Linked DNA regions of Oryctolagus cuniculus. Each later gene encodes a partner of the first gene's protein in a complex. Links are inferred from orthologs where the notes say so. Each region holds a gene or a part of one and is shown on either strand. Other genes may lie near its edges. The genes, in order: IMMT and CHCHD6.

What was found.
Region 2: IMMT (region 1) and CHCHD6 share a complex: the UniProt entries of both Homo sapiens proteins name them as parts of the mitochondrial contact site and cristae organizing system (MICOS) complex. The link is inferred for Oryctolagus cuniculus from reciprocal best matches to the Homo sapiens genes IMMT and CHCHD6.

The regions. Positions count from the first base shown.
Region 1 is NC_091433.1:116,573,690-116,589,596, reverse strand, and holds part of IMMT (MICOS complex subunit MIC60), read right to left. Parts: intron 15,727-15,907; exon of another isoform or gene 15,600-15,726; intron 10,389-15,599; coding exon 10,315-10,388; intron 9,573-10,314; coding exon 9,383-9,572; intron 5,406-9,382; coding exon 5,294-5,405; intron 2,497-5,293; coding exon 2,359-2,496; intron 2,018-2,358; coding exon 1,922-2,017; coding exon of another isoform or gene 1,914-1,921; intron 1-1,913. UniProt on the Homo sapiens protein: Component of the MICOS complex, a large protein complex of the mitochondrial inner membrane that plays crucial roles in the maintenance of crista junctions, inner membrane architecture, and formation of contact sites to the outer membrane.
Region 2 is NC_091441.1:109,685,364-109,701,702, forward strand, and holds the start of CHCHD6 (MICOS complex subunit MIC25), read left to right. Parts: upstream 1-5,972; 5' UTR 5,973-6,097; coding exon 6,098-6,184; intron 6,185-16,339. UniProt on the Homo sapiens protein: Component of the MICOS complex, a large protein complex of the mitochondrial inner membrane that plays crucial roles in the maintenance of crista junctions, inner membrane architecture, and formation of contact sites to the outer membrane.

The DNA.
Region 1 (15,907 bases):
CCTCAGCAAGAAGCACTACTTTCAAAGTAGTACATAGCAAAGACCTTAAGGAAAAGAATAGACAAACAAGAAAACATGCAAACGAAAAGAGCAAAGGCAGATTGGAATGGACAGTGTTTTTCTACAAAGGATTCCAGAAACAGCAGAAACCAATGTTGTCTCCTATTAAGATCACTTTTCTGATGCCTCAAGAATGTCAAACAGAAACTTTGAAACAAAATTTTTAAGTAAAGCAAGGCATTATTTCATATTAATATGAAAAAATGGTCACTTAAGGAAAGCCAATGAGAAAACTAATTTAATAATTTATATCAGAGGTGACCAAAATGTATCTTAGGTGGAACAACAAAAAAGGTGATTCTGAGAAAAAGAAGCCTAAGCTAGAGATGAACAAACAGAACCTGGAGTGCTACACGTGATACCTATGCAACAAAGAAATGAGGAGAAAGCTAACAATGAGGAAAAACCACACAATCAATGTGAGACTGAAGGTGGACTACAGAGCAGGCGGCATAACGAGGCAAGAGAGGGAAACATGGTAATGTGGTTCCCACAACAGGCTTGTGGTAATATGGACATCTGAGCATACAGTCGTGAGCCATTTCACAGGAGCCACAACAAGTGGACAGCTGAGAGGCTACCTGCTCCTTCAAGCCCTCTTCAAAGGTCTACTCACTGTGATCTGACCCTGGGTAAAAATTACACACCCACATGTGCACAAGCACACACACGCACACATAAAGTTTGGGGGAATCTGAGGGGCAAACAAAATCATGGAAACTTTCATTCCACTCACAAAGACAAAAGGAACTGGACAAAGAAAAAAGGGAGATGAAACAGCAGATACTTCCATCTCATATTTATACCTTAATTCAAGGTGCTTACGTATAAAGGAAGAAAAAAACACACACCAAAAAACAATAAACTCAGTTTGAAACAGTAGAGGATTCTGGAAAAATTAAGAAGGTGGAAAATGTAGAAATATTTCACCTATTAAAAGTCAACTATTCAACAATTCTCAATCATGTGTCACACAGTCAAGAACTCGGAACAATATGAAAAAAGACAAAAACCCAAATTCAGGTAGCCAAACTCATGTCCTAACCCCTCATCATTCTGTCTCTTCCACTCTTTTACATAACCCTAACATCTTGATTCCTCAGAGTATGACAGAACCAATGCAGTAGAAGCAAAGGAGGAGCCCGTCAAGGCAGAACAAACAGTAACAAGGAAAGATCAAAAACTGCAAATAGCTGCTAGATGAATCTAAAACAACAGCTCACGACATCTCCCCAGACATTAATATCTGCCGCACAGTGCAATAAATTGTGTCCCATGTGCTTTGTTCAGTAAGGAAAAATACATTTTTAGCTATCTACTTTTTAAAACCATCAAAAGCCTTAACATAAAAGTGAAACAAAAAGGGATATACTTGCTTATCGCTAGAAACAGTGCCATACAGAAGATCCCACCTCCCACCACCGCCAGGTAAGTGCAGTACTGGAGGGCGAGTCCAGAGGCAGGGGCGCTCATTCAGAAAGTGAGCTGTTCTGACCTTCAGAGGTACTTACACATTCATTACCAACTAAAAGACTCTTAGGCAAGTCACTGAAACATACACAATTTCTGATACACACACACACACACCCCCCCACAGAGCATAAAGAATCTTTAGCACTAGCCATAACAAACGGAAAAAGATCATGGATTACTTGGAATGTTCACCAACTATATACTAATAGCCTTGTACTCTGCACAAAAGAAATTCGGATGTGAAAAACACAAGGGATGAAATTAAAGTGGTGAACAGAGCAATGCCACTGAAGAAAAAGAAACCCGACTGTCAGACGACAAACTTGTGCTGAGGTTTGAGAGCAACTGAGAGTTGATAAGGACTTGAGAAGCTGTTGGATTTACATACACTCAATCTCAACTTGTTCTTGTTTTTCCTGTTGTGCAAGGCGAGCTGCAACTTCTTCAGGTGGGCGTTCCCTTACAGAAGATGAGGATGCTTCCTCTTGCAGCAAAAGTAAATAAGAGTAAATCAAATTTCAGCACACAATTTTCACAGCTCACACCATCGTTCACACTTGTCAGTTACATCAATGCAGAGCATTTTTCTGGCGAGAATTCTAAAACTGCATCACTCTTAATGATTCCAAAATGCATAAGGGATCAACTCTTAATCTTCTTGGTTTCAAAGAGTTATTAGGACTTTTAACAAATTTCTTGAACCAGTCTAAAAACTTAAGAGCAGTAGAAATGTATACTTACATCATGTCTAAGAGTTGCCTAGGCATTAAGTAATTCTCATGAGCCCTTTATCTATAAAACAGTAAATATAAATAATTAAACTACCTGAAGTTACAGGTGTGGGTTTTCCTCCAGTAATTTCAGGACGATCAATTTTTACTGGTTCTTCATGCTGAACTGCAGGGGCTGGGACTGATGGCGTATCACCTGCTGCAGAAATAATTTGAGCTGCCTCTGTAGGTGCTATAAATATATGTTACTCGTGGCATTTATATTTTTTTGGATTAATAGAGCAAACACGTAATAATCGACTGCTAGAACTGCCCACATTACATCTGACTCCTTAAAAACACAAAGGCATGTAATGCCATACATCTGAATAATATACAAACAGGGGCACCATGCACTGCAAACACAAACTCACACAAATTGAATGATAGTTGGAAAAGCACTAAGACAAAGAAGTCTTGTCAACATTCATCTGCATTTTAACTATCATTACACTCAGGCAAGACTTCCAGTAACAGTACTAATCCTTACCATGTAAGGAAGTATGGGGCCGGCACTGTGGGAAAAGCCGCCGCTTGTAGTGCCACCAGCATCCCATATAGGCCTGGGGTTTGAGTCCCAGCTGCTCCACTTCCCATCCAGCTCTCTGCTATGGCCTGGGAAAGTGGTAGAAGATGGCCCAAGTCCTTGGGCCCCTGCACCCGTGGGAGACCCAGAAGAAGCTCCTGGCTCCCGGCTTCGGATCAGCGCAGCTCCAATTGTTGCAGCCAACTGGGGAGTGAACCAGCAGATGAGAAGACCTCTCTTTCTCTCTCTCTCTCTCTGCCTCTTCTCTCTGTGTAACTGACTTTCAAATAAATAAATAAATCTTTTTTTTTTTTTTTTTTTTTTTTTGACAGGCAGAGTGGACAGTGAGAGAGAGAGACAGAGAGAAAGGTCTTCCTTTGCCGTTGGTTCACCCTCCAATGGCCGCTGCGGCCGGCGCACTGCACTGATCCGATGGCAGGAGCCAGGAGCCAGGTGCTTTTCCTGGTCTCCCATGGGGTGCAGGGCCCAAGCACCTGGGCCATCCTCCACTGCACTCCCTGGCCACAGCAGAGAGTTGGCCTGGAAGAGGGGCAACCGGGACAGAATCCGGCGCCCCAACCGGGACTAGAACCTGGTGTGCCGGCGCCGCTAGGCGGAGGATTAGCTAGTGAGCCGCGGCGCCGGCCATAAATAAATCTTTAAAAAAAAAAAAACATGTAGGAAGTAGACATCAGATTTCTGTAACATGGAAAGAGAATAATGAAGGAAAAGAGTCTGTAATAAAGAAGGGTCACAAAAGAAAGCAAAATTTACCAAAGAATAATTTCTTTTTAAAATGTGTCACAAGTAATTGTTCTTTTTATTAAAGATTTATTTATTTGAAAGTCAGAGTTACACAGACAGAGGAGAGCCACTGGTTTACTCCCCAGATGGCCGCAACGGCCGGAGCTGCACTGATCCGAAGCCAGGAGCCAGGAGCCTCTTCCGGGTCTCCCTTGTGGGTGCAGGGGCCCAAGCAGTTGGGCCATCTTCTACGGCTTTCCCAGGCCACAGCAGAGAGCTGGATCGGAAGTGGAGCAGCCGGGACTCGAACCGGCGCCCATATGGTATGCCAGCGCTTCAGGCCAGGGCGTTAACCCACTGAGCCACAGCACTGGCCCGGACCAAAGAATAATTTCAATTACTCTGAAGAATAGTAGATACTGAAAGAAGACATCTGATCAGGAACAAGATGACACTCAAATACAAGAAGAAAAGTTCACAGTGATGGCAGTAAATTAGGAGCAGAAGTCATTTAATAGAAACACTTCATAGAGAGTTTTAAAAATCAAGGGCTTGCAACTTTAATGACAAGTTTTGATGGAAAAGAAAAAGAAGTAATTCTAGGGACGGAATGGGAGGAGGAACCAATGGATGCAGTTTCCTTTTTTAAATTGAAGGTCTCAGTTAAAAACTCATTAACTAGCTTCCCTGCTTCTGCCCTCAGTCCCTTCTTGGTTCACAACAGCCAGAGTGATCTTACAAAAATTCAAGTCAAGTATTAGCCTCCTGGCTTAGCACCCTCCAACACCTCTTCACACCACTCAGAAATGAAATCTCTTAGCACTGCTTCAAGTACTGACTGCCACAACAGGCCTTCTGCTCCCTCTCTGGTAGGATTTGCTGCTGTGCGTCCCACACTCACTCTACTCCAGCGTTATCTGCTTCTCACTTGAATAAGCCTCTTTCCACTAGCTTCTCTGCCTGGGATGCCTCCCCACCAGCTTTTTACATGACTTACTCCCTTCTCTCTTTCTAGCCTTTCCTCAAGTAACACTTTCCAAGTGAGGCTTTTCTCACCCACTCCATTTAAAACTGCAATACTCCCCTTCTCATACTGACATTTTACTTGATCTCTTTCCCTTAATCCCACCAAGAAATATTAGCAGAGGTTTTTTGTTTCTAAAATGATTTTGTTGATTACTATACCCAATGGTGCCTAGAAGACTGCACATAACACTAAGTGAACCATCTGCCAACAAACATCTGATTGAATCAAGGACAAGTTTCACTATGGAGAAAGCCAAGGAGACTGAATTCATGTTGAACATGTTAGAGTTAGGCAAGTTGTAAATTAGGGTGGGTTTACTGGGAAACCCAAAGATAAAATATATCTGCAGGAACTACAAAAAGACACTTTGATTACTTAAAGAACTGCTGAAGAGGTAGATAAAAGAGGTGGGGGGTGGGGGAGAATAAATCTTAAAACCCAAAGAGGCGAAAAGTCTAGGAGTCAGAGGGAAAAAAAGATAAATATGTTTCAGGCCAGACAACCTATACTGTTTCCTCACTCAGTTCTTCATAATAAAGCTCAATGCTATGTTCAACTCTGAAACTGAGCACAAGAATGACTTGTGAGAGCTGGGGACCAGAAGAGTCCTTCCCCGGGGGCCTTCTCTTGACAAATACATCAAAACAATTCATTTCCCCATAATTTTTAAAGAATGGTTTTAGATAGAAGTACCTGTTGTTGAAGCTGGAGTATCTCCTTTGTGTTTCTGAAGTTGTGAGGCGGGCTGTTTAGATTCTTTCATTACCTCTGATACACTGGAGATTTTTAGTGGACCAGACTGAATCTTGAGGGGAAAAAAAAAAAATTTACATATAATACTGTTTCTAAAAGACAGCACACAACAATTTATAATATTTCAAAGGTCAAGTCTTTCAGGCTTTTAATATGAAATTATGAGTGCTTTACAACAAAAGCATTTTATTAATCACAGTAAGAAAAGTCATCATTACTAGAAAATTTGCAGTTCAAAAATTCTATTCCAAATCACTAATGCATATTTTAGTACTAACAAAAGGTTCTTTTAGGACAAACAATAAAGTATACATATGCCCTTCCCCTTAAAGATTCTTTTACAAATACAACAAGCAGGTGTTTCTATTTACTTTCTAAATCAAATTACAGTGTCAGAAACAAAGTTTACTACAGAATCTGAGTAAAAATGAAAATCAGTTTTTGTTTCTTTAATCTCCAGGATTCATGCAATTACACATCAATTTGTGAGTAATGCTTGCTTTTCTCTTTTCCAGTTACTACCTGCCTTAGATTTAAGGTACTATCCATAAAAGACTTCCAGAGATGTGCCAGAGAAAGTTAAGGAGTAACAGAAATATTTTATTTACCATCTGTGATGTCTCACATTTTGTCAGAACCTGGCAGCATGTCTCAGATATCCCTAAGATGACTACTTACCCACAGGAAACTACAAGAAATATATCCCTTTTATTTTTAATAAAACATTATCATTCCTAAATTAGGAAACACAGGCTCACTGAAACAAGCAAAGCAATACTTGCATACATCAGTGGTTTTACATGGTCTCTTCATTGCTCCTTTCCCTTCCAGCTAGCTCAGGAAGCCCCGGCCTGAAACCTCTCCCTCCACCCCTGTGCATTGCGGGCCTTGCTGTCCTGCACCTTTGGGGCGCATGGCCCTCAGGCCACCCACCCCATGCTTCCTGGCCCTCCATGCTCTTCCACATGGCTGGCTCCTGGTACTTGGTATGAACCCAGATTTCCCTCTCTCTTTTAGATAGGGCCCTCACTCTCCTATACATTTCTCTCACTGAATAAAAAGCTTAAAACTTAAAAAAAAAAAAAAAAAAAAAAAAAAAAAAAAAAAAAAAAGAGACTATCTCAGAATTTAGTCAACCATTCAACATTCCAGTTGTTTATTTTGTCTCACAAACACTGAATCAATGAACATCCAAATAAATAAAAAGTGCTGTTGTATGTTATCTGCAAGATAATTTCTTGGAAAAGGAACTGCTGGATCAAGGTGCTATATTTTTGATATTAACAGATCAATTTCACATACAGTTCTACCAATTCACATTCAAAATAAACGTGTATGAATAAAATCTATTTCTAAAATCTATTTCCAGTAGTTGTGCTATTCCTCTAATTTCTATTCCTGTTGTCAAGAACTGATTTGATTAAAGCAACATAATAGGTAGAAAGCAAATGTTTTCTGACCCTTTCCCATCCTTTTTCCAAATTTTCTTGGCTAGTCTTGTACATCATGAATTCTGCCATATGAACTTTAAAATCATGAGGTCTGGTACCTCACCCTCTAGAAAATGTCATTAGAATTCTTTACCTATTTCTTTGTATGTTTATGTACACATACCGTAAAAACATATTTATGAGACACATAAGAGAAATAACATCTTTCTGACATTAAGTTCCATCTATGAATATAACATTAGTATCCATTCATACAGGTCTTATTCTATGTCTATCAAAAAAGTTTTAATGTCTACATAGTAAGTATTGAGAAAACACTTACTACACAAATAATCATACAGGTAATAAAGCAGATACTCTGAAATAAAATGCACAGTTTTATTTTATGAAAGCAATAAACTGCTGGCACTACGACACAGCGGGTAAAGCTGCCACCTGCAGTGCCGGCATCCCATATGGGCGCCGGTTCCAGTCCCGGCTGCTCTTCTTCCAATCCAGCTCTCTGCTGTGGCCTGGGTTAGCAGTGGAGGATGGCCCAAGTCCTTGGGCCCCTGCACCCACGTGGGAGACCTAGAGGAAGCTCCTGGCTCCTGGCTTCAGATAGGCACAGCTCCGGCCGGCCATTGCAGCCAATTGGGGAATGAACCAGCGGATGGAAGACCTCTCTCTCTGCCTCTCCTCTCTCTAACTCTGACTTTCAAATAAATAAATAAATCTTTAAAAAAGAAAAGAAGCTAAAGCCAACAGGGAAATTAAAGAAAAAAAACTTGAAAGTCTCACTTTCTAGTTATCTTGTGCAGGGGTTGAAATTTGACTCAAAGTGGAAAATATATCAATGTTTTTTTAGGCCTTCACATTTAGATATGGATAACTATTCCAATTTGATTTTTCAGGTAATGAAGAAAGCTGCTAGTAATTTTAACCCCTGACTAAAGAAAATAATTTCATTTTGGCACAAATACTTATTGCCTTGAAAAACAGCACTATCACAGCCTATGTTGTAGAATAACCTGTATCCCTTTCCAACTATACAAATTCTTAAATAAGTATAAATTGGAATTCAATTAAAGATAGTTGATTATATTGCAATCAGATGGCATTCACAAACTTAACTGGATCATATACAAATAATATCTATTAGTAAGAGTTTTCTTATGCTAATAGAAAAATGTAATTTAGCTACCTAGTCTAAAAATGGTGAATATTATTAATATTGTATAATAGAACTGGGAAGACTATACTCTTTTGAAGAGATTAAGGATTTTCACAATTTTCATCAGATTTTACTATTTTGGTCAAATTTCTAGGTATTTAATTTGTAAAAGTTTGCTGTGTACTGGCCTACAGAAACTAGGGTATTGATTTTAAACTTTTGAAGCCAAGTGATCAAGTACATTTGTAATAAAAGTCAATGGATCGAAAAAAAGAAAGAAAAGGATGGCTGAAGTGTGGGGTAGGCAGGCAACCACGGAACACTTGATTTTCTAAATATCATCTTTGTTACAAAATTGGTCCTACATCATTCTACCTACTGGAGAATTGAAGCTCATCCAGTTTTGAATGAATGGATTAGCCATGTCTAGCCTCATCGCATGAAGAATTGCCCAATATCAAAAACCCAAAATTCATACTCTTTAATAAATTGTTACAAGAAGCTATGTTTAAATGAAGAAATAGTTGAGTTTTAAAAATGTTTAATTCTGGCCGGCACCGCGGCTCACTAGGCTAATCCTCCGCCTTGCGGCACCAGCACACCGGGTTCTAGTCCCAGTCGGGGCGCCGGATTCTGTCCCGGTTGCCCCTCTTCCAGGCCAGCTCTCTGCTGTGACCAGGGAGTGCAGTGGAGGATGGCCCAAGTGCTTGGGCCCTGCACCCCATGGGAGACCAGGAGAAGTACCTGGCTCCTGGCTTCGGATCAGCGCAGTGCGCCGGCCGCGGCGGCCATTGGAGGGTGAACCAACGGCAAAGGAAGACCCTTTCTCTCTCTCTCTCACTGTCCACTCTGTCAAAAAAAAAAAAAAAAAAAAAAAAAAAGTTTAATTCTGATGCAGAAAAAGGAGTGAAAATGAAGAGTATGTACAAAGCCTCATGAACAATGAAAGATATTTCTGTCAGCCAATCAAAATGTAGCTGAAACTTCAGTGACTGTTTCACGCTCTGAAAGAAGCCATTGCTAACGTAACATGTGGGCTGCGTCATGACCATTTGACATCTACGGCTGTCAAGTCAGAGCTTGACGGCTGCAACAACGTAGACTGACAGATTCCCCTTCGATCCACAGGGCAACCAGGGTTACTTCCTCCTATACTGCTCCTCTATTTGCCCTTGTGGATCGCACAATTATTTTCCCCATGGTATGCACTTATGCATGTCCAAAAGGATAAACACTCACCTTATAGATTACTACCAGTTCAATTTAAACAGAAATGAAGTACCTCTGACAGGCTGTACTGAATTACAGTTATAATAAAACTTTACAATTTGTTTTTCCAAAATATTTTCAAGATGAAAAGAACCTCCTTTTAAAAGCCTTACATAGGATAAACTGAAATGCTAAACAAACAAACAAACCTCTTACCGGCTTCTTTGGCAGTGGAATACTGTAAGGTGCAGAACCAAGAACCATTTCAAAGAGTTTGTCTGAGTAAGGTATGGTTTTCTCTACACTTTCTCGGAAATGGGAATCCCATTTTGCATAAAGAATAGTGCCACCAATACCTCCACCAACAAACAAAAGGCCAGCTCCAGCAATTTTGCCAGCAGTCAACCTATATCAAAGAAATGGGGAACACATTTATATTTCTTGGCTTTCCTGTATCTATTCTCCAACTTAGGAGAATCAAAGAACTCTGATCTGTAACATCTACTTCTCTACCACTGATCCAGATCACAGCAGCCAAGTTTACTACCACAGTAGCACATCATATTTTTCTGATTTTTCAACAAGTCTGCAACAAAAAACTCCTAACATATAGGGATAACTAAATTTTTTTAGAATACAGTATCTAAGGGAGAAAGAATGAAGCAATCTATCCTTCAACACTTAAAACTCTAGATATTCAAATTATGCAATTTCCTTTAAACTCAAAAAAAAAAAAAAAAAACTACCATGACCTTTTAAGGCTCCTCTCCCTTAATTATATATTGTAAATACAATAAAATTAATCCTTTACAAAAGATCATAAAATATCAAACAGAACACTTTTTCAAGCTACAATATGCTGAGTTCTGCATATAAATCTATTTGCCATGGAACAGAAGATGGCACATGGGAAGGGGCAGCATCTCCACTGGATGCTGATTATCAAAAAACCAAAAGGCATCATAAAAATTTTTCACCCAGAAATACAACAGTGCTCCAGAAGGTCCCTCCAAAGATACCACAGCAAAACTCTAGAGTATATACTTCTTATTAAAAGGTTTTAGGCAGCTATTCCGATATTCCAGGAAAACACACATACACATACACACGCACACACACACAGTCAAAAGCCGAGACATACTACATACCCAGAACTGCCTGAAGTTGAGTATCTTCGGCATGGTCGTAATGGACGGAGGACAAATTTCCCGCAGAGACAACTCTAAAGGAGAAAAAAACATTGCAACCGATAGAGTTAAGAAATGTGGGGCATTTTTAGAGTTGGTAAGGCAGAAACAATACCTTTATTTTAAATGTCTTCAGTAAACAAAAATTTTATTTTCAGAAATCAAAGTCAAGAGACATTTATATTCTTAGAAATGAAACAGTGATGCTTCCTGCACCAAGACTCCTATTAGTAATATTTTTTAAAAAGAATTATGAGACTATGACCAATCAATATTTTTAAGTGCCATGTATGCTAACTATTGCTCAAATACAACTGGGATTTGCCACATGCTTTAACTAGCAAGAAAAAAACAACAGTATAAAATGTCTATTTTACTTAATTTAGATATCTGAAAAATTAGAGTCCAATTAAATACAAAGCATTATAGGCTATATACACATCCATTCATGCAAAAGTTCCAATCTCAGCTTAACTTATCAAAAACCCAAAGTTCCCACCTCTAAGCTAACTTTGTAGACAGTCAATTCCTAGAGGCATTCATCTAAATCTACAAAGTTCATTCTTGGTTAATTCTAGTATATGTATCATTAAACCAAAAGCCAACAGAAAAAAAATATTACCAGATGTGGTAAATGTTCAGAACACTTACCTCCAGATAATCAGCCCAATTCTTATATTATACATAGAACATACTTAAGGCAATATTTTGTGACTTTTTTTTAATCCAACTAAAACATACAAATGCAGATGTTCCTTAATAATAATATATGGATCCTTTAAATTAAGCAAACAAGCACTTAAATACTATTTGGGAAGGTACTGATAACTTGAAACCATTTAAAACTTATCAACTTGAAATTTCAAACTTATTGTAACCATAAACAAAATATTCTTTATACCAAGTAGAAATCAAGCTGCAATAACAGGGAAAATGCTTTAACCAGGTTCCATAACTAACTGTATCTAAGGAACATTGGAAAAACACAAACCTTCTTTTCAAAGTACATTTTAGGGAGCAGGCATTTGGCCTAGCAGAGAAGATGCCCACCACCTGTATCAGAGTATGTCGGTCTCTTATAGAATGGCAAATGCCCTAAACAGCACTCTGGCCTCAGAATCAGCCCTTAAGGAATTCAGCTCTGGCTAAAAAAGGTCCATGAGAGTTTCTCAGGCATGGAAAGCCAAGACACTGTGGCAAAAAAATGACTAAATGAAAGATCTCTGTGAGCGAGATCCCAGCAGAAAGAACAGGCCATCAAAGAAGGAGGTACCTTTCTCTGAAGGGAGGAGAGAACTTCCACTCTATGGCCTAGTCTAAATAAGGTCGGAGTTTATGAACTCAAGAGGCTTCCATAGCCTTGGCAACTCACGACAAGAGCCTCGGGTGATTACTGACTTCATAAATAAGAGTGTCAATTGTTAAATTAACAACAGGAGTCACTGTGCACGTACTCCCCATGTAGGACCTCTGTCCTTAATGTGTTATACTATGGGAATTAATGGTAAAGCTAATATTCAAACAGTACTTTATACTTTGTCTGTGTGGGTGCAATCTGTTGAAATCTCTACTTAGTATATACTAAGTTGATCTTCTGTATATAAAGATAATTACAAATGAATCTTAATGAAGAATGGGATGGGAGAGGGAGTAGGAGATGGGATGGTTTGCAGGTGGGGGGTGGTTATGGGGGGAAAAAATCCAAAAGTTGTATTTTCGAAATTTATATTAAATAAAAGTTAAAAAAACACAATTATGTTGGCCCGATTCCAGTGTGGGCTCCTGATTCCAGCTTCCTACTAATGCAGACCCTGGAAACCAGCAGTTAATGGCTCAAGTAATTTGGATGTCACTCAACATAGGAGAAATGGATTCAGTTCTTGTCTCCTGGCTTCAGCCTGATCAAGCCCTGGTCATTGCAGAAATTTGTGGAGTGAACCACTGGATACAAGGGTTTTCTCTTTCTCTCTCAAATACATACTAAATTAACAAAAAATTAAGTATCTTTACTTTTAAGAAAACATATTCCATGATCACAAGATATATGAAATTATTCTAGCATCACAGGTGCAATTTATATTCTATTTGCCAAAGTGTAGAGGTAAACATCTAACTCATGTTAATCTAACTCGAAAAATCAAAAAATAAACCAAATGTTTTAAAACATGTAAAGCAGACATAATTGGTATTTACAAATATTTCAAGGCAGGCACTGTGGTGCAGTGGATTAAGCTGCTCCTTGAGATGCTCGTATCTCTGGCTATTCTGCTTCTGATCCAGCTTCCTGGGAGATAGCAGATGATGGCTCAAGTGTCTGGGGTCCCTGCCACCCAAATGGGAGACCTGGATGGAGCTGCTGGACCCTGGCTTTGGACTGGCCCAGCCCCAGCTATTGTGAGCATTTAGGGAGTGAACCAGACAATGGAAGATCTGACTCTACTTTTTCAAAAAGATGAAATCATTTTTTCAAAAAAAATTCAATTATTAATGTGTAGAATTCTGAACATCTTTAAACTGCTTTTAACAGAATTTGAGAACACCCAAATTCACATCAGTACTTTTTAACATTTTTCTTTACCCCTGTTTCTTCTTTTATCATAGCTCTCTACCCTCGTAGGAGACCAGGAGGAAGCACCTGGCTCCTGGCTTCAGATCGGCGTAACTCCAGCCATAGTGGCCATTTGGGGGGTGAACCAATGGAAGGAAGACCTTTTCTCCGTCTCTCTCTCTAACTCTGTCAAATAAATTTTTTTAAAAAATTTTTTTAAAAATTAAAAAATTAAAAATTAAAAAAATTAAGAAAAGACTCCTAGTGGATCTTACAACTCAAGTGAGCCATATATATACCCATATATATTTGCAAAATATATTTCACTATAACTAAAGTTCCTAGTATTATATTTAAAATCTGAAATTTTAAATCAAACTTCAAAGTATAGAGTGAAGTCTTCCACAAATTTGTTTCCCAGCCACCTAGTTCCCCTCTTCATAAGCAACTACTGCCATCAGTTTGACCAGAGATATTCTATGCATATTTACCCAAATGTGCATTCTCCTGCCCTTTACCATCTTTACAAATGACACCCCAAACATACACCCTGTTCTTTACTAAGGCTCATTCTAGAATACATATTTTAGGGGCTGGCACTGCGGTGTAGCGGGCAAAGCTGCTGCCTGAAATGCTGGCATCCCATATGGGTGCCAGTTCAAGACCTGGCTGCTCCACTTCTGATCCAGCTCTCTGCTATGGCCTGGGAAAGCAGTGGAAGATGGCCCAAGTCCTTGGGCTCCTGCACCCGCGTTGGAGACCCGGAAGCAGCTCTTGGCTCCTGGCTTCGGATCGGCCCAGCTCCAGCCCTTGCAGCCAGTTGGGGAATGAACCAGCGGATTAAAGACTTCTCTCTCTGTGTAACTCTTTCAAATAAATATTTTTTAAAAAGAATACATAAATATATAAATATATATTTTAGATATTGTATATAAATGTATGAAAAACCTATTAAAAATAGAAGAAAAGCCAGGGCCAGCACCATGGCTCAATTGGCTAATCCTCCACCAGCGGCGCCGGCATCCCATATGGGCGCCGGGTTCTAGTCCAGGTTGTTCCTCTTCCAGTCTAGCTCTCTGCTGTGGCCCGGGAAGGCAGTGGAGGAGGGCCCAAGTGCTTAGGCGCCTGCATCCTCGTAGGAGACCAGGAGACTAGGAGGAAGCACCTGGCTCCTGGCTTAGGATCGGCATAACTCTGGCCATAGTGGTCATTTGGGGGCGAACCAACGGAAGGAAGACCTTTCTCTCTGTCTCTCTAACTCTGTCAAATAAATTTTTTAAAAAATTAAAAAATTAAAAATTAAAAAAAAATAAGAAAAGCCTCCTAGTGGATCTTACAACTCAAGTGATCCATTTATGGATGCTAGTTAATGTACTGTCAACTACCTCCTACTGATGGACACTGAAGTCTCATCTAAATTTTTGTTATCATAAATAATGCTGCCTGAGTAACACTGAAAAGACAATCTTAGGTCAATTCTTTGTATCTTATTGACTTGAAAAGCAGAGTTACAGATAGAGAGAAATCTTCCATCTGCTGATTCAGAGCTGGCCCAGACTGAAACCAGGAGCCAGGAGCTTCTTCCAGGTCTCACACATAGGTGCGAGGGCCCAAGCACTTGGACCATCCTCTGCTGCTTTCCCAGGGCATTAACAGGGGGCTGGATCAGAAGTGCAGCAGCTGGGACTCGAGCCAGCAACCATATTGGATGCAGTTGTAGCAAGCAATGACTCTACTCCCTATACCACAACGCCGGCCCCAAGTCAATTTTTAAAAAGTATTCTTAAAAGTAAAATTTGCCATGATGACAAATACTGTCAAATTAGCCAAACTGCCCTCTAGTAATATGATAGCATAAATTTTCCCACACCTTTCCAACACACTGTTATCTCTTTATCACTGACAATCCACTGGGTGAAGATACAGTGTCTCAGTGTCATTTTAATCACAATTCTCTTCATTATGATTATACTCTTTCCATATTTTTTTCTTCTCTTTCCTCTTACCTGTTAGGAAATTTGGATTTATATATATTTTTATTGCCTTTTCTGTGATTTGTCAGTGTATCATTTGTCCGCTTTTTAAACTAGGTTGATCTTTTTAATATGCCTTTGTCCATGCGTGATTTATAGATATTTTTAATTCATTAATTTATTTATTTGAAATGAAGAGTGACATAAAGAGAAAGAGAGATCTTCTATTGACTGGTTCACTCCCCAGATGGCTGCAGAAGCCAGGGCTGGGCCAGGCTGAAGCCAGGAGCCAGGACTCCATCCTGGTCTTCTACATAAGTGGCAGGGGCTCAACTCGGGTCATCAACAACTGCTGACCCAACTGGTCCATTAGCAGGAAGCTAGACTGGAAGTAGAGCAGCTGGGACCAGAACCCAGGCTCTGGAAGCAGCAGTTGCACACCATACCACCAGCCTCCTATATTTAAAGAAATTAGCCACGAGTCTATTACGTTTTGTCCTGTTTGTAAAGTTTTCTGTTGAGTTTGTGATCTCCCTTTATCTTTGGTCATAGTAGTTTATGTCATGCAGAAATTATTTTATAATGATGCAAATTAATAGTTTTCATCTAATAGTGGGTTTTTCAAGATTGATTTATTTGAAAGGAAGCCTGAGACAGAGAGAAATAGACAGACACAAACAAACACAGAAATATCTTCCATCTGCCACTTCACTCTCCCCAAATACCTGCAACAGCCAGGGCTGGGCGAGGCCAAACCAGAAGTCAAAAACTCCATCCAGTCTCCCACGTGGGTGGCAGCAACCCAGGCAACCGAGCCATCATCTATAGCTTCCCAGGCACATTGGCAGGAAGCTGGATGGGAAGTAGAGGAGCCGGGACATGATCCTAGGCATTCTGATAGAAAATGTGGGCATCCGAAGCAGAGGCTTAACCCACTGTGCCACAACACCCCCCCCCCACCCGATGGCTGATTTTTAAAAACTTAAGCATCTCATTCATTAGCCTACCTTCATATTCTAAGTAGTATTTGGTA
Region 2 (16,339 bases), on another chromosome or scaffold:
CACATGTGTGGCTGGCATCTGAAGTGAGGGGCAGTCTTGAGCAATCGAGCCCCGAATCTCTGAGCTCTTCTCTAATCCTGGGAGTGTGAGAATTGATGTGGAAGACACCCAGGTGATGTCTGAGAACTGGAGATGGTAGTTGATAAGAATAAACTACATAACTGATGTCAGGGGGGGAAAAATTATGCTTTTGATGCCAGAAGCCATTGCTACCACTTTCAACCATAACCTCTCTTCCCAAATTTTCTCTCGCTAGCAAATTTCTATCTTATCTCCTTCCTTCTCTCCAAACTCCACTCCTCCAGCTGAGCTGGCTCTGCTGCTTCTTCCTACTTCCGCCTCTCAAAATCCGCGCAGGTTGTACCCAGCTGAGCAAAAGCCTCAACGGGTCACCTCAGCAATTTCAAGCATAAAAACATCTCCAGTTCAGCTGCTTCCAGTGCTTCAGGCCTGCGGGGAGGGAGGGGAACAAGGGGCTCAACTGCTCCCATCCCACAGCTGAGCCCCAGGTTCAGGAAGGCGAGGACTAGCAAAGAGCTAGGAAGGGCTCGGCGCCACCTGCTCCTTTAAGCCCTTCTCCTCACTGGAGTCTGGACTGTGGGCTCACCCACTCTTCCAGTGAGCTACAGTGGCAGCCCTCAGTCCACCTCCTTTTTTCCCACCAGGCCTCCAATCCTCACCAGTGGTTTCCAAACGTTAGCCCTGAGGAAGTTTTTAATCAGTGCACAGTGAAATGGAAACGGGGACAAGTGAACAGCGTGGCAAACCATTTACCTTCAAAGGCATGTGCACGCCAGCATCACTGGGTGATGATTTTACCACCTAGAAACACATCTTGCTAAGGCAGAAGACCCATGGGGTATGGTTACTGTACAGCGGAAGTCACGAATTGGCTGTTGTCATGACACATCTGTCCATAGGAACGCACTGGGACTGTCGTCCCTCAGTGCTATCTTAGTGTGGGAAGTCTCTTGGTTGTTCTAAGCATATTTTGCGTAGATAGGTCTTCGCAGGAAGCCATACAGGATCAGTGAGTTGTTCACTCATCAGCCAGCTGTTGGCACTAGGGCTTACTTGTTGGTCTCTTTCCTGCTCCTCCCGGGAGAAAATACTGCTCAGCCCCTGGAGGTGGCTGGGGCCGTGCAGCTACTTCTAGCCATGCCATGTCCGAAGGGGAGGGAATTCTGTTTCCCAGGCCTGAGAATGGGGGTACTAACACTCCCAGGGGGATTTTGAGGACTCAATACATTAGTCATAGATTAACCATGCGGAAAGCAGGTGTGCCCGTTCCGTGGCGCCTGGCACCGAGAAGGTGCTCAAAAACAGCCATTTCTCCTCCCCTCCTTTCCTCAGCATTCCTAGGCCACCGCCTCTACTCAAACCCGCATTCCACTGTGGGGGTCTAATGTTACATCATCTCCACTTATTTTCTCCGTGATTTTCCCACGTGTGCAGTGTGGCGATGGAACCAAGGGCTGTCACGAGGCTCATCTGTGCTGCTGTCAGTGTAACCCCACTCTACGTTTGTGGAATTCCAAGACTCCCAAAGGACTTCCCACAGTGCAGGACCGTGGAGGTGAGGCCCAGGTAGTGTTACGACCACCCCTTGGCTCTGGCCTTTATTGTGTAGAATTAGTTCAAGGTGTTAACTATTTCATCATCTGCTCCAGAAGAAAGTGTCAGCCCTTTCTCCAATTGTTCCGAATCCCATTTACAGTGGTAGAAGCCATGCAGGCATCCAGGAGCCTTTGAAAATATTTGGAACAGGTAGTGGCTGTCAGTAGGGCCTCACTTGGATTTTGTTTGCCAGCTGGTGAGCCTCCCTGAGCTGCTATGGTGTGGACAGCTGATGGTTCACAGATGCCCCTTTTTCTGAAGAATCTTCCTCAGGTGCCCGGGGTGGGAAATGGAAGGCAGCCCCCTTTTCCCAAATTGGGGCCATCTTCTACTGCTTTCGCAGGCCATAGCAGAGAGCTGGATAGGAAGCAGAGCGGCTAGGATTAGAACCGGCACCCATATGGGACGCTAGCACTGCAGGCCGGGGCTTTAACCCGCTGTGCCACAGTGCCGGCCCCTACTTTTTTTTATTTATTTATTTTTGCTCTTGTTTCCTGTGCTTTTGGTGTAATGTTGGAAAGAGTCATTGCCAAGAGCAACGTCAAGTAACTGTTTCCGTATCTTCCCTTCTAGGAGTTTTATAGTTTCAGATCTTACATTTAAGCTTTTAAGCCACTGTGAGTTGATTTTCCTATATGGCCTAAGGATCCAATTTCACTTTTTGCATACTTTCTTTCCCCTACTGTGTGGCACTCTCATCAGAGATTAGTTGACTTTATTTGCATGAGGTTATCTCTGGGCCCTTTTTACTGCTCTGTTGGTCTATATGTCTATATGTTATGCCAGTACCACACTGTTTTGATTATTATAGGTTTGTAATATAATTTGAAATCAGGGCATGTTATTTTCCCAGATTTGTTCTTTTTCATGATTGCTTTGGCTATTTGGGGTTGTTTGTGGTTCCATAATGAAATGTTAGGATTTTTGAAGAATTTCTGGGAAAAACACTATTGGAATTTTGAATACAATTGCACTAAATCTGTAGATTGCTTTCGGCAGTGTGGACATTTTACCAATGTTAATTTCTCCAATCCAAGAACAGGAGATATTGTTTCATCTATTAGTGTCCTCAGCAACACTTTTCATCGTCTTATGGTTTTCAGTGCACAGATCTTTCCACTCCTTGGTTAGGTTTATTCCTAGGTATTTTATTCCTTGTGATGGTATTGTCAATGGTATCATTTTTAAAAAAGATATGCTTACTTAAAAGGCAAAGTAACGGTGCGGGGGGGGGGGGAGTGAGAGAGGAAGAGAGATGGATCCTCCATTCCTTCATTGGCTGGTTCACTCCAGCGGGGGGTAGACCAGGCCAAAGCCAGGAGCCTGGAACTCTTGGGTGGGTGGGTGGGTGGGTGGGTGGTGGCAAGGGCCTGAGCACATTAGCAGGAGGTTGGATCAGAAATGCAGAGCAGCTAGGACTCCCAAAGGCACACTCTGAAATGGGATGTGCCTACCCCAAGGCGCAGAGTGGCTCAACCTGCTGCACCACAATGCCCACTCCTTTTTTTTTTTTTTTTTCTTGACAGGCAGAGTTACAGAGTGAGAGAGAGACAGACAGAGAGAAAGGTCTTCCTTCCATTGGTTCACCCCCCAAATGGCCGCTATGGCCGGCGTGCTGCACCAATCAGAAGCCAGGAGCCAGGAGCCAGGAGCCAGGTGCTTCCTCCTGGTCTCCCATGCAGGTGCAGGGCCCAAGCACTGGGCCATCCTCCACTGCCTTCCCAGGCCACAGTAGAGAGCTGGCCTGGAAGAGGAGCAACCGGGACAGAATCCGGCGCCCCGACCGGAACTAGAACCCGGTGTGCCGGCGCCGCAGGCGGAGGATTAGCCTAGTGAGCTGCATGCGCCGGCCAGCCCACTCCTATAATCTTTTCTGGATAGTTTGTTGTTAGAAATCAACAATAGATTTCTCTCTGTCTCGCTCTCTCACTGTCCACTCTGCCTGTCAAAAAAAAATTAAAAAAAAAAAAAAAAAAAGAAATCAACAATAGGGGGGGCCGGTGCTGTGGTGCAGCGGGTTAACGCCCTGGCTTGAAGCACCAGCATCCCATACGGGCGCTGGTTTGAGTCCTGGCTGCTCCACTCTGATCCAACTCTCTGCTATGGCCTGGGAAAGCAGTGGAAGATGGCCCAAGTCCTTGGGCCCCTGCACTGGCATGGGAGACCCGGAAGAGAATTCTGGCTCCTGGTTTTGGATTGGTGCAGCTCCGGCCACTGTGGCCAATTGGGGAGTGAACCATCGGATGGAAGACCTCTCTCTCTCTCTCTTTCTCTCTCCTCTCTGTGTAACTCTGACTTTCAAATAAATAAATAAATAAATAAATTTTTAAAAAAAAGAAATCAACAATAGGAGGAATTTTTGAAAATTCACAAATGTGAGGAAATTAAACAACACATTCCTGAACCACCAATGGGACAAAGAAGGAATCAAAAAAGGGAGAAATTTATTTATCTGGAGACCAACAAAAATGGAAACAAAATATACCAAAACTTACAGGATGCAGCAAAACTGTTTTTAAGAAGGAAGTGTATAGTGATAAACACTACATGAAGAAAAAGACAGATCTCAAATAAACAACCTAACTTCATACTTCAAGAAACAACAAAGAAAGGACAAACAGCCAAAGACAGAACAAGGAAAGAAGAAAGATCAGAGCAGAAATAACTGAAATTTCCAGAAATCAAGACAATGAACAATAACAAAACTCAGAGTTGTGTTTCTTAAAGATCAACAGAGCTGACGGCCTTTAGCTAGACGGACCAAGAAAAAAAGAGAGAGAGAGTACCAAGTAAAACTAGAAATGAAAGGAGACTTTATAACTGATATCACAGAAATACAAAGGATCTCATAATAGATGTCTTCACTATGAACCATTATATACCAACAAACTAGAGAACCTAAAAGAGATGGTCACAGTCCCAGGTATATACAATTTAGCAAAACCGAAACACCAAGAAAGAACATTTGAACAGAACAGTAGCAACTAAGGAGATTCAGTTATGGAAAACCCCCCAGCACAGGAAAGCCCAAGACCAGATAGGAACGCATCCTTCCTTAGCTTCCCCCACCTTGGCCTTGACCTGCTTTCTTCACTTTCTTCCCCCGGGGAACTCCCAGAACAAACCGCTGGCAGCAAATCCCCATGCAACCCCGCACAGAAGGAGGAAATGGGGCTGTACCCTGAGTGAGGCCTCTACTAACCACCCCAGCCTGGGAATGTTCCCGGCTTCTCTGTACTGAGCTGTTTTCAGCCTCAGGGCATCTCACTGGTGTCTCCCCCTACCCTCTCCCCTGCATGCCCTTCTGTCCAGGTTGCCCAAAAGGGGCTGCCCATAATTCTTCCTGCTTCCGGAAACAAGCTAGAGTCTCTCAGCCCCAGATTCCAAGCTGAGTCTCAGGGTCACTTTGGTGAATCAACGCCATTGAGCAACGGAGAGGAACGAGAGGGGGCCTCATGTAAGGTAGTGGCTACGAGTGGCAGTCCTCTGCACCAGTACACATAGGTCCCGGGGAGAAGCATCAGCACCACATTCGGTCCAACGCACTCAACACGCACCATCTATGCTCCTTGGACAACGTCCCTCAGACCTTCAGGGCCACTGCTGCCTGTCTCTCAAGGCATCTAGAGTAACATCCCAACCCCGACCCCGTCTTGCGAGACCCTCCCCGCTCCTCCGACCTCACGGCCAGGGCTCCCCTCGGCTCCCTCCCTGCTGTCCAGCCACGCCGTGGGCCTCTTTCACGCGTCCCCACGGCCAGGCCCTGGTGCGTGTGGGTTTCCAGGGGAGTTCCTCTCCCACCTTGTCCGTAGGTCTCAGTTCAAGCGCTTCCTCCTCGGTGACGTTGCTGGGACCCCTCAAATTCAGGGACTCCTGTTACGTACGTTATGGCAGAACCATGACGCCATTTTCTGTTTATCACAGTTTAGTTTAGTTTTTTTTTTTTTTTTGCTTGCTTCGGCTCCAACACCGTAAACTTGTGGGAACAGGGCACTCAGTGCCTGTTTGCTGAAGAAATGAAGCCATGGACTGCCAGAAGTTCGCCTCAGCTTCCTGGGTGGGCTTCTTGCTTCAGAATACCTACTTCATCTCTGCTTCAAGAGTGAATTTTCTAAAGCAGGCCCTTGGCCATGCCTCCTCTGCTCGGTAGTCCGCCATTCCAGGCTCTCCTGAAAGCACCCAGCCTCTACCTCAGCCTAACATGCCATCTATGGTCTGACCACCACGCCCCCACGGTGCTCCCTGCATACGGAAGAGGCCTCGGACCGGCAGAACTACAACTCCCAGAAGGCATCGCGCAGCCGCCGCCATCTGATTGGTCGATCTCCGGGTGGCGGCCAATAAAATTTGGTTTTGTTGGCTTGCACCCCGCGACAGCCTGAGTCCTGGGAAGCGCAGGACGCCCACCGCGCGGCGTCTGCCTGGTTGCTCTGGAGCTGTGGAGCGTGGCCGCCCGCCGGCTTCCTGCCCTCCTCCAGCCATGGGGAGCACGGAGAGCAGCGAGAGCCGCAGAGTGTCCTTCGGAATGGACGAGGAGGAGCGGGTCCGGGTGCTGCAGGGCATCCGGGTGAGCGGCCACCTGGGCGGGGGCGGGCGCGGAGGGCACCCGAGGGCGCGGAGGCCGTGGGCCCGGCCTGAGGGACGGTGCAGAGCGAGAGCGCTGCCGGGGGTGTTTGCCGCCGCCGGACGCTGGTGGAGTCCTCCCGCTGTGTGAAGGGGGCGTGAAGCTCGGGAGACGCCCGGGGCCCCCTCCAGGAAGAACCTGCGTCTGGACGCGAACCCGAGGCTGGCGATCTTCAAGCTTCACCGCACTGGCCTGGGGGAGAAGGAATGGGGAGCCGGACACACGGGGAGGCCGCTGGGATACGAGGGAAGCCTGGAGCCGCATTCCAGCCCCGATCGGGGGCATTTTTACGTTTCTTTTGTTGGGCCGCCGCCGCTCCCCTCACCTGCTAGGTGCGCGCGTCTGGTTCTGTGTGCGGGAGATGCAGCCGGTCCCGAGCGACAGCAGCTGCCTTGTGACCGCGGCTCTCAGCTCCCACTCTTGCCCCGACTGCCTGTTGTCCACAGCGCACCCAGAGGGGCACCTGCAGCATCGTGAATCACATCGCGTACCCACCCCTTGCTTACAACCCCCCGAGCGATTCCTAGCCCATCACCATGCAGACACTTCTTACCCGGCCTGCTGACCTCTCACCCCCGGCTAGTTCCCTATTCCCCAACTGCTGCCTATTGGCTAGCCCCTTGTTCTTCCTGGAACATGCCAGCTTGCTCTAAGCACAGGATCTGAGCACCAGCTGGTTTTTTGGTGTGGGTGTGTGTGTGTGGGGGATTTGTTTATTTGAAAGGCAGAGTCACACATAGAGGAGAAACAGAGATCTTCCATCCTCTGGTTTGCTCCCCACCTTGGCAGCACCCCATCCTGGCCTGGGCCAGCCTGAAGCCAGCAGGCAGGAACTGCATCTGTTTGCCCACCGTGGCTGGAGCTCAGGCACTTGGGCCAGCCTCAGCTGCTTTTCCAGGCACCTTAGCAGGGAGGTGGATCCCAAATGGAGCAGTCAGGACTTGAACCAGTATCTCTAGGGATGCTGGCACTGCAGGCTGTGGCTTAACCCTCTGGGCCACGACATGGGCCACAACTGTTGTTTTCCTCTTCTACTTTTTGTTAAGTTAAATCCTGGTCATTCTAGTTAAGTGTCATTTGAGATGCCTTCTTGACCACTGTACGTAGGAAGTGTCTCAGCTCGCTGTCACACATACATTTTCATAGCATTCATCATACTTTGAACTTTTTTTTTTTTATTTTTGACAGGCAGAGTGGACAGTGAGAGAGAGAGACAGAGAGAAAGGTCTTCCTTTGCCGTTGGTTCACCCTCCAACGGCCAGCATACCGCGCTGATCCTAAGGCAAGAGCCAGGTGCTTCTCCTGGTCTCCCATGGGGTGCAGGGCCCAAGCACTTGGGCCATCCTCCACTGCACTCCCGGGCCAAAGCAGAGAGCTGGCCTGGAAGAGGGGCAACCGGGACAGAATCTGGTGCCCCGACCGGGACTAGAACCCAGTGTGCCGGCACCGCAAGGCGGAGGATTAGCCCTGTGAGCCGCGGCGCCGGCCTGAACTTTTTCTTAGTAACTGTTTCGCTCTAGCATGTAAACTCCTTGAGGTGAAGGGTCTTGTCTAATTCTCCCTCTACCCCAGAACCTAGGATGATAAAAGCAACTCATTTTTTTTTTAAAGATTTATTTATTTATTTGAAAGAGTTACACAGAGAGAGGTTCACTCCCCAATTGGCCGCAAAGGCCAGAGCTGTGCTGATCAGAAGCCGGGAGCCAGGAGCCTCCTCTGGGTTTCTCACGCAAGTGCAGGGGCCCAAGGACTTGGGCCATCTTCCACTGCTTTCCCAGGTCATAGCAGAGAGCTGGGTCGGAAGTGGAGCAGCCGGGACTAGAACCAGCGCCCATATGGAATGCCGGCGCTTCAGGCCAGGGCGTTAACTCGCTGCTCCACAGTGCGAGCCCCAGTAACTTACTTTTCAGTGTGTAATGGACCCATAGGTTGTGCCAAACCTTTAGAGAGATCATTACATTTAATTTTCAGTAGTCTTATTAGTAAGGTAGAATTATGTTCATCCATTTTATAGATATATAGGAGAACTGAGGCACTGGAGAGCAGGGATTGAAGCAGGCCAACCAAATGGCCTGTTCATTGAGCTACCATGCCGTACTGTGCCTGTGCATGGCCCACAGTGGGTACTTTGTACATAAGGGTCAAGTAGTTAGATGAGTGCACCTGTTAAGTGGACTGTGTTTAAATGGAATGCATGGAGCTTGGTATAGGTGAGATTAGTAATTAAGTGGCTCCGAGAAAGATTGAGAGATCTGACTTCTAGGCCCAGGTGCTCATTAGTTGTGTGACCTTCCTTGGGTGAACCATTTAGCTTTTGAGCCTCATTTGCCCAGTTTAAAAAAAAAAGATTCAATGCAGGTGTGTGAGAGATGATCCTAGGAGCTGCGTGGGGTAAAGTGGAGATGTGGGAAGGTGTTTAGAGAGCGTGTAATCTTTGTAGAGCCTCTTCTTTGCAGAGTAGAGGGCTTGGCACATTGGGTGCTGTCTAGGTGTAGTACAGTGTTGTCGACTTGGCTGTGGCAAAGATAAAATAGGGAGGAGATGGCTAGAGCTGAGAGGGGCAACGACCTGAATTGGAATTTAGAAAGGCCTCCTTGCTCTGTGTGCCCCTTAGTCTCTTATTTTGGGACATGTTGGAAAATTAGCCTGGAGTTTTCAAAGGTTTAGGTTCAACCTTTGGAGGTGACTTTTTTTTGGGGGGGGGGACGATAGGCAGAGTTAGAGAGAGACAGAGAAGGGAGAAAGGTCTTCCTTCCGTTGGTCCACTCCCCAAATGGCCGCTACAGCCAGTGCGCTGTGCCAATCCGAAGCCAGGAGCCAGGTGCTTCCTCCTGGTCTCCCATGCAGGTGCAGGGCCCAAGCACTTGGGCCATCCTCCACTGCACTCCCGGGCCACAGCAGAGCTGGGCTGGAAGAGGAGCAACCGGGACAGAATCCGGTGCCCCAACCGGGACTAGAACCCAGGGTGCCGGCACCACAGGCGGAGGGGGATTAGCCTAGTGAGCTGTGGTGACTTTTTGAGGATTATATAAGTTGCAGGCTTAGGTTTAGAAATTTGCCCAAGATGTTACTGGAGTTGCTCTGTGATTTTTTTTTTTTTTTTTTTTTTGACAGGCAGAGTGGACAGTGAGAGAGAGACAGAGAGAAAGGTCTTCCTTTACTGTTGGTTCACCCCCCAATGGCTGCTTTGGCCGGTGTGCTGCGGCCAGCGCACTGCGCTAATCCTAAGCCAGGAGCCAAGTGCTTCCTCGTGGTCTCCCATGCGGGTGCAGGGCCCAAGCACTTGGGCCATCTACTGCACTCCCGGGGCACAGCAGAGAGCTGGACTGGAAGAGGAGTAACCGGGACAGAATCCGGCGCCCCCACTGGAACTAGAACCTGGGGTGCCGGCGCCGCAGGTAGAGGATTAGCCTATTGAGCCGCGGTGCTGGCCGACTTCTGGGACTTTAATCCAAATCTTTTGGGTAGAAAAGTCAGCCTTTTCCCACTGTTCCACTCTTACGCCCGTGGCAGCCTGGAAATTTGTGACCTGTTCTGATAGGGACGCTGGTGCCTCACTTAGTTTTTTCAGAGCTTTTAAACTAGAAGGAACTTTGGCGATTGCTTCCTTTCCCACCCAGGCAAACTACTCAGAATACATAACTCGTCTGGAGGTGCACCGAGAGGTACAGGGCCCCACATTAGGAGAGTCCCATCTGTCCTGTTTGTGCACTGGTTGGAAAGAGGAAGAACGAAGAAAAGCAGGTGTGGTATTGGAATGTTTGGTGCAGGAGCTTTTCCTGTTAGCAGATTACCTGAATGTTGAGGGGTTCGCCTTGTCTTCAGACAGGCAAGCAAGAATCAGTAAAAGAGATGGTGAGGGTGACACAGGAGTCACCAAAATGAACAAATGCACATGCAGTGGGGGGAAGCAGCTGAAGAAGAATGTTTGCCCCACTCTTACAGAGAAAGTCACCTATTCTGAAAGACTCCTTGAAGGCAACCCCAGAGGCAGGGCCTAGACAATGCCCTAGTCCCCTTAAAATGAAGCACTAGGGCCGTGTTGGTGCTTTAACTAGTGTGTTCAAGCCCCAATTCCATGGGAGGTAAAAGTTTTAATTAGTGCAAGATGCTGCAGTTATATTCACCTTTATTCAGACCAAGCATGCATGAAATACCTAGTTTTTTTTTTTCCAACCAGTACATTTAACCTCATTGTCCTATAAGAGAAGACACACATATGACAGTGATGTCCTGTACATGGTTTTCCTCTTCCCATCCCATGTAAGCAACCATCTTTGGCAAATGGTTGTCAACGTCCAAATTCCACGCTGTCCTCCAGCCTCGTCCCCTTTCCAGCCTCTTGGCTCCCCAGTGTTCCAGTCCCTTCTGGAGCCTGCTTCTTCTGCCATGTTCCCACACTCGGTACACCTCCATGCTAGACAACTTTTCCATTGCTCATTGTTCCTATGAGGCCGATTGTGGACCATTGTTGAGGGGCAGAGCAAGAAAGGTATAGTCAGCCACACAAAAGGCAGTCCCCAAATGTGGCAGTGGCAAAGAGTCTACATGCCAGAGCACTGTACCCACAGCTGCCACGTACCACCTCAGCAAATTTTTTAAAAATATATTTTATTTTAGTGATCTTGCATCTGCTGGTTCGCTCCCCAAGTGGACACAATGGCCAAGGCTGAGACAGGCCGAAGCCAGGAGCTCCATCCAGGTATCCCATGTGGCTGGCAGGAGCCCAAACACTTGGGCCATCTTCTGCTGCTTTTTCCATGTCATCAGCAGGAACTGGATCGGAAATGGAGTGGCTAAGAGAAGAACCCGGTGCCCATAGGGATGCTTGCGTCACAGGCAGCGGCTTCACCCTCTTTGCCACAGCACTGGCCCCCAGCGAATGCTCACTGTGAACATGTTTCTTGGACTGGGTCTAGCCTTGCAGAGACAATAAGGAACAAAGCCAGGGCCCTTTCCACTCTGTAGACAACCTAGTCAAGGGAATGGACCAAAAAGAAAGTTAAAACAGCTGGAAATGTGAAAAAGGAATAAAAAAGGGTACGGGGAAATGGGGCTCATCTGCCTGAGGTGGGGTGTCAGGTAATGCCTCCCTGAGGAGGTGACACGGATGGTATGACCTGAGCTGCTCTGGCAAGAGTGAGCCTGCGCCAAGCAGCGTGCCAAGTACGTTCAGATGCTAATCCTGTGAGGGGCTCATCATCCCCGTTTCAGAGGTGAGAAGCAGGTTCAGTGAGATGAAGTGACTCAAGGTCACGGAGTGAGCTGGTGGTAGCCCTGGAGGCTCAGGCCCTCCGACTCCATAGCCTTTGTGCTTGGCACCACCAGGGATTAGGAGGTTGGGCAGTGTAGGGCAGGCTTGGAGGCCAGCCTGGGCGGTCCTGGATGTTATCCTGGAGGCAGTGTTCTGGAAAACTAGTATCCAGTGATGCTGATTTTTTCCCCTTCTTTTTTAAAAACAGCTCTAGTGAGATGTATTTTACATATCATTAAATTCACTCATTTCAGTATTTTTTAGTACAGTTACAGAATTGGGCACCCATCACTAGAGCTCAATTTTAGAACGTGTACAAGACCTAAAAAGCTATCTTGTGCCTATTTGCAGTCACTTGTCGTTAACACTCCTAGTCCCAGGTAACCACTAATCCTCCTGCCTCTTTAAATTTCCCTTCTCTGGACATCGATGTCTTTAGTTTGGCTTCCTTCTCCCAGCACAACGCTTTTGCTTTTGGCTTACTGATGTTGTGTATATTAGTAGTTAATTCCTTTTCACCACTGAATAGTGTCCTGTGTATGGACATACTGCATTTTGTTTGTTTACTCCCTTATTGATAGACATTTAGTTGTTTCTAGTTCCTGGCTATTATGAGTAACGCTGCTGTGAACATTCGTGGACAAGTTTTGTGTGTGTGTGTGTGTGTCGGGGGGGCACGTGTTCATTGTTCATGGATAAATACCTAAGAGTAGGCTTGCTGGGTTGTTCGATTTGTGAATTTGGTGCATTGTTAAGTCTAACTTTTAAAGAAACTGCCCAAGTGTTTTCTAAAGTGATGGTATGATTTTATATTTTCACCAACAGAATATGAGGATTCGTTTCTCCACGTCCTCACCGATACTTATTGCTGTCTGCCTTTTTGATTATTGCCAATTCTAGTGGTTGTGAAGTGATATTGCATTGTGGTTTGAATTTGCATCTCCCTAATAGTTAATGATATTGACTATCTTTTCATGAGCTTATTGGCTGCCCATGTGTTTTCTTTGGTGAAGTGTGCGTTCAAATCTTTTTGTCTATTTATAATTGGGTAATTTGTCTTCTCATTACTGTGTTATTAGATTCCTTTGTGCTGGGTTTAAACCTTTTATTAAATCATGGCTTATAATTTTTTATAGAAGATTTTTGTGACTATGTTCATTTAAGATTATTATCTCTCTTTTTTTTAAGATTTGTTTGTTTGAAAGGCAGAGTTACAGAGAGAGAAGGGAGAGCTCTTCCATCTGCTGTTTCACTCCCCACATAACTGCAATGGCCAGGGCTGGGCCAGGCTGAAGCCAGGAGCCTAGAACTCTATCTGGGTCTCCCATGTGGGAGACCAAGGACTTGCGAGGACTGGGCCCATCTGCTGCTGCTTTCCCAGGTGCATTTGCAGAGAGCTCCATCAGAGGTGGAACAGCCAGAACTTGGATCAGCTTCCATAAAGGATGCCAGTGTTGCAGGCAGCAGCTCAACCAGTGAGCCACAACACTGGCACCTGCAAAATTGTTTTCAATATGTGGCTTCTAATTTCGTAATAGTTTCTGAAGCCCAAATGTTTATAATTTTGATAAAGTTTACTTACCAATTTTTTTCTTTTATTTGTTGTACTTTTAGAGTTGTATCTCAGAAATCTTTGCCTAACTGATGGCCATGGTAATGTCTGTTTTTTCTTCTAAACTTTTTTTAGTTTTAGTAGAGTCTTTTTAAAAATTTATTTGACAGGTAGAGTTATAGACAGTGAGAGAGAGAGAGACAGAGAGAAAGATCTTCCTTCTGTTGGTTCACCTTCCAAAAGGGTGCTGCGGTGGAACTGTGCCAATCTGAAGCCAGGAGCCAGATGCTTCCTCCTGGTCTCCCATGCGGGTGCAGGGCCCAAGCACCTGGGCCATCCTCCACTGCCTTCCCAGGCCACAGCAGAGAGCTGGACTGGAAGAGGGGCAGCCGGGACTAGAACCGGCTCCCATATGGGATGCCGGTGCTGCAGGCGGAGGATTAACCAACTGAGCCACAGCGCTGGCCCCCTAGTAGGGTCTTTAATGTGATCCATTTTAAGTTAATTTTGTGGATGTTGTGAAATAAGGCTGTTGGCAAGATTTTCTGTAAAAGAGCAGATAATAAATGCATTAGGCTTTGTACATGTGCAAGGTCTCTGTTGCAAATACTCATTTCTGCCATTGTAGGTGGGAGTAACCATAGACAATATGTAAATGAATGGATATGCCTATGTTCTAAGTAAGACATTTGTTTATGAAGTGAAGTGATAGGTTGGATTTGACTCATACACAGGAGTTTGCTGAACTCTGTTTTAAATCATTTGTTTTGTTTTGTTTTGTTTTTAGGGATGTGAGTATCTCAGTGAACTTTGTTGATAAGACTATTCTTCCTTGTTGAATTACTTTGAGATCTTTGTGAAAATCCATTAAGCATAAATGTAGCTTTCAGTTCTGGACTCTCAGTTCTGTTCTATTAATCTCTATTTCTGTCCTTATGCAAGTACTGCATTGTGATGTTTATTTAGCTTTATGCTGAGTTTCAAAATTGCGAAGTGTAAGGCCTCCATCTTTGTTCTTCCTTTTTGAGCTTGATTTGGCTGTTTTGATTGTTTACATGTCTATAAACACTTTAGGATCGGTTTGTCAATTTCTGCAAAAAATCTGTTGGGATTTTGATAGAATTTATGTTGAGTCTATAGATCACTTTGGGGGAATTGCCATTTTTAGCAATATGGAGTCTTCAGTTTTGTGAATATGAGATATCTCTTGATTTTTATTAGAGCTTCCTTAAGTTTTCTCAGCAATGTTTTATACTTTAAGTCTACAAGTCTTATACTTACTTTCTTAAATTTATTCCCAAGTGCATTGATTCTTTTTGATGCAAATATACATGGAATTATTTCCTTAATTTCATTTTTGGATTTGTCATTACTGGGATGGAAATATAGTTTATTTTTATATATTGGTTTCACAACCTTGTTAAACTCATTTACTAATGCTGGTGGTTTTTTGGTGGGTTCCTTATGATATTTTAGATAGGATCATGTTGTTTTCAAATAAAGACAATTTAACTTCTTCCTTTCCAATTTGGATGCTATTTCTTTTTCTTGCTTTATTGTATTGGCTAGGATTTACAGTACAGTGTTGAGTAGAAAAGGTAAAAATGAATGTCCTTGCTTTGTGCCTGAATTTAGGGAGAAAGCACTCAGTTTTCTGTCATCAGCATGTTGGCTGTAGGTTTTTTTTGATACTCTTGATTGGATTGATGATTTTTTTTTATGGTCTTAGTTTTCTCTTCCTCTCTATTGTTGTGTCCTGTTTTTTATTTTATAAGCTCTAAGAAGGCAAATATTGTTTGTTGTTGTTGTTGTTGTTGTTTTTTGATATTACAGTGTGTGGCTCATTGGTATATACGTATTGGATTGCATACTTGAAGTGATGAAGTGACAGTCTTCTGGCCAAGCTGGCAATCTTGGAGCAGCTGTGTGTGAGAATCTTAATTCTCTGAGGCTTTAATGCAGATTTGTCCCAATGCGTGCAGCTGTTTTCCACCATGCTGTTGCCCAGGGATTTGCCTCTGAGCTTGCTTTCTTGCATGAATGTCAAGTCTCCCTGCCATGATGTCTTACATTATTGGTTTTTTCCGTTAGTTCTTTGTCTTTCTGTTGTTTTTGCTGGATGTTGAGTTCTGTGCTTGGACTCCTGTCCATCTATAAAGTCAGCTCTTTTTTTGCACCCTTCATCTTGATGACTTACTTAAAGGCAGTGTGGTAAACAGAGGGTCTCAAAAGACTGGGACTTAGGCCCTGACACTTCGGAGAGGTAAGTCTTTCTCCTTATGTGCAAGATAAAAAATATTGTGTTGCACCTTCATGGACCCATAAGCATAGGTACTACGAATGGACTAGATCACAGTTCTGCTCCATTCTTCTCATAGATTTAAAGATGTATCTGGCAGACCCTTTGAGTGAGTACAGTGTGATGGATCTGCACCCAGAAATGCCAGCTTGGAAAGCCATGAAGCTAGCATCCAGCGTCTGGAGCGCTTCCCAGTGAGCACTGTCTGAGTTGCCAGTCTGGCGGACATTGCTTGAGTGCACACCACGGGGCTGCCCTGGGCCGGGTGCTTTCACAGCCTCCTCGGTTTGATGTTTCCAAGGCATAGTGCATCTTTGTGATACACACTCAGGGTTAGAGCACGAAGTAAAACCAGCTGTGCAGGAAGCAGAGCACTTTGCTTCCCCCTGCCTTTGACGCCAGCTGCCGAGGAGTGGAGAATCTTCTTCCAGCAGGACGGTGTGAAGACTTAGACAGCTGCCGGTAGGCTTCCTTGTGTTCCCTCTGTCTTTCTGGCTCAGGGGTTCCCCATCTCACGATGTGTGAGAACCACAGCAGAGGACTTTCTCCATGGGCACACTGTGTGTAAGCGGCAAATTGAGCAACTCCCAAGGGTTTATTTTAACAATGTTTGCAGCTTATTTTTCTCTCTAAATTATTTATTTTATTTATTTTTGAAAGGTAGAGAAAGAGAGAGAGATGCTGGACACAGAGATCTCCCATCTATTGGTAATACACTCCCCTCTAGTTGCCCCCCTTTCTAACTCCCCCCCACCTCCATCCCCAGCCAAATGCCAGCAACAGCCAGCACTGGGCCCAGCGGAAGCTGGGGCCTGGGAATCCAATCCAGGTCTCCCAGGGGGAGCAGGGACCCAGCTACTTGAGCCATCACCTGCTACCTGCTAGGGTGCACATTAGTGGGTAGCTGGAATTTAACAGAGTTGGGACCCAAATCCAAGCAGTCTGATAAGGAGGGTGGGCATTCCAAGGGGCTCCTAAGTGCTACTCCAATGC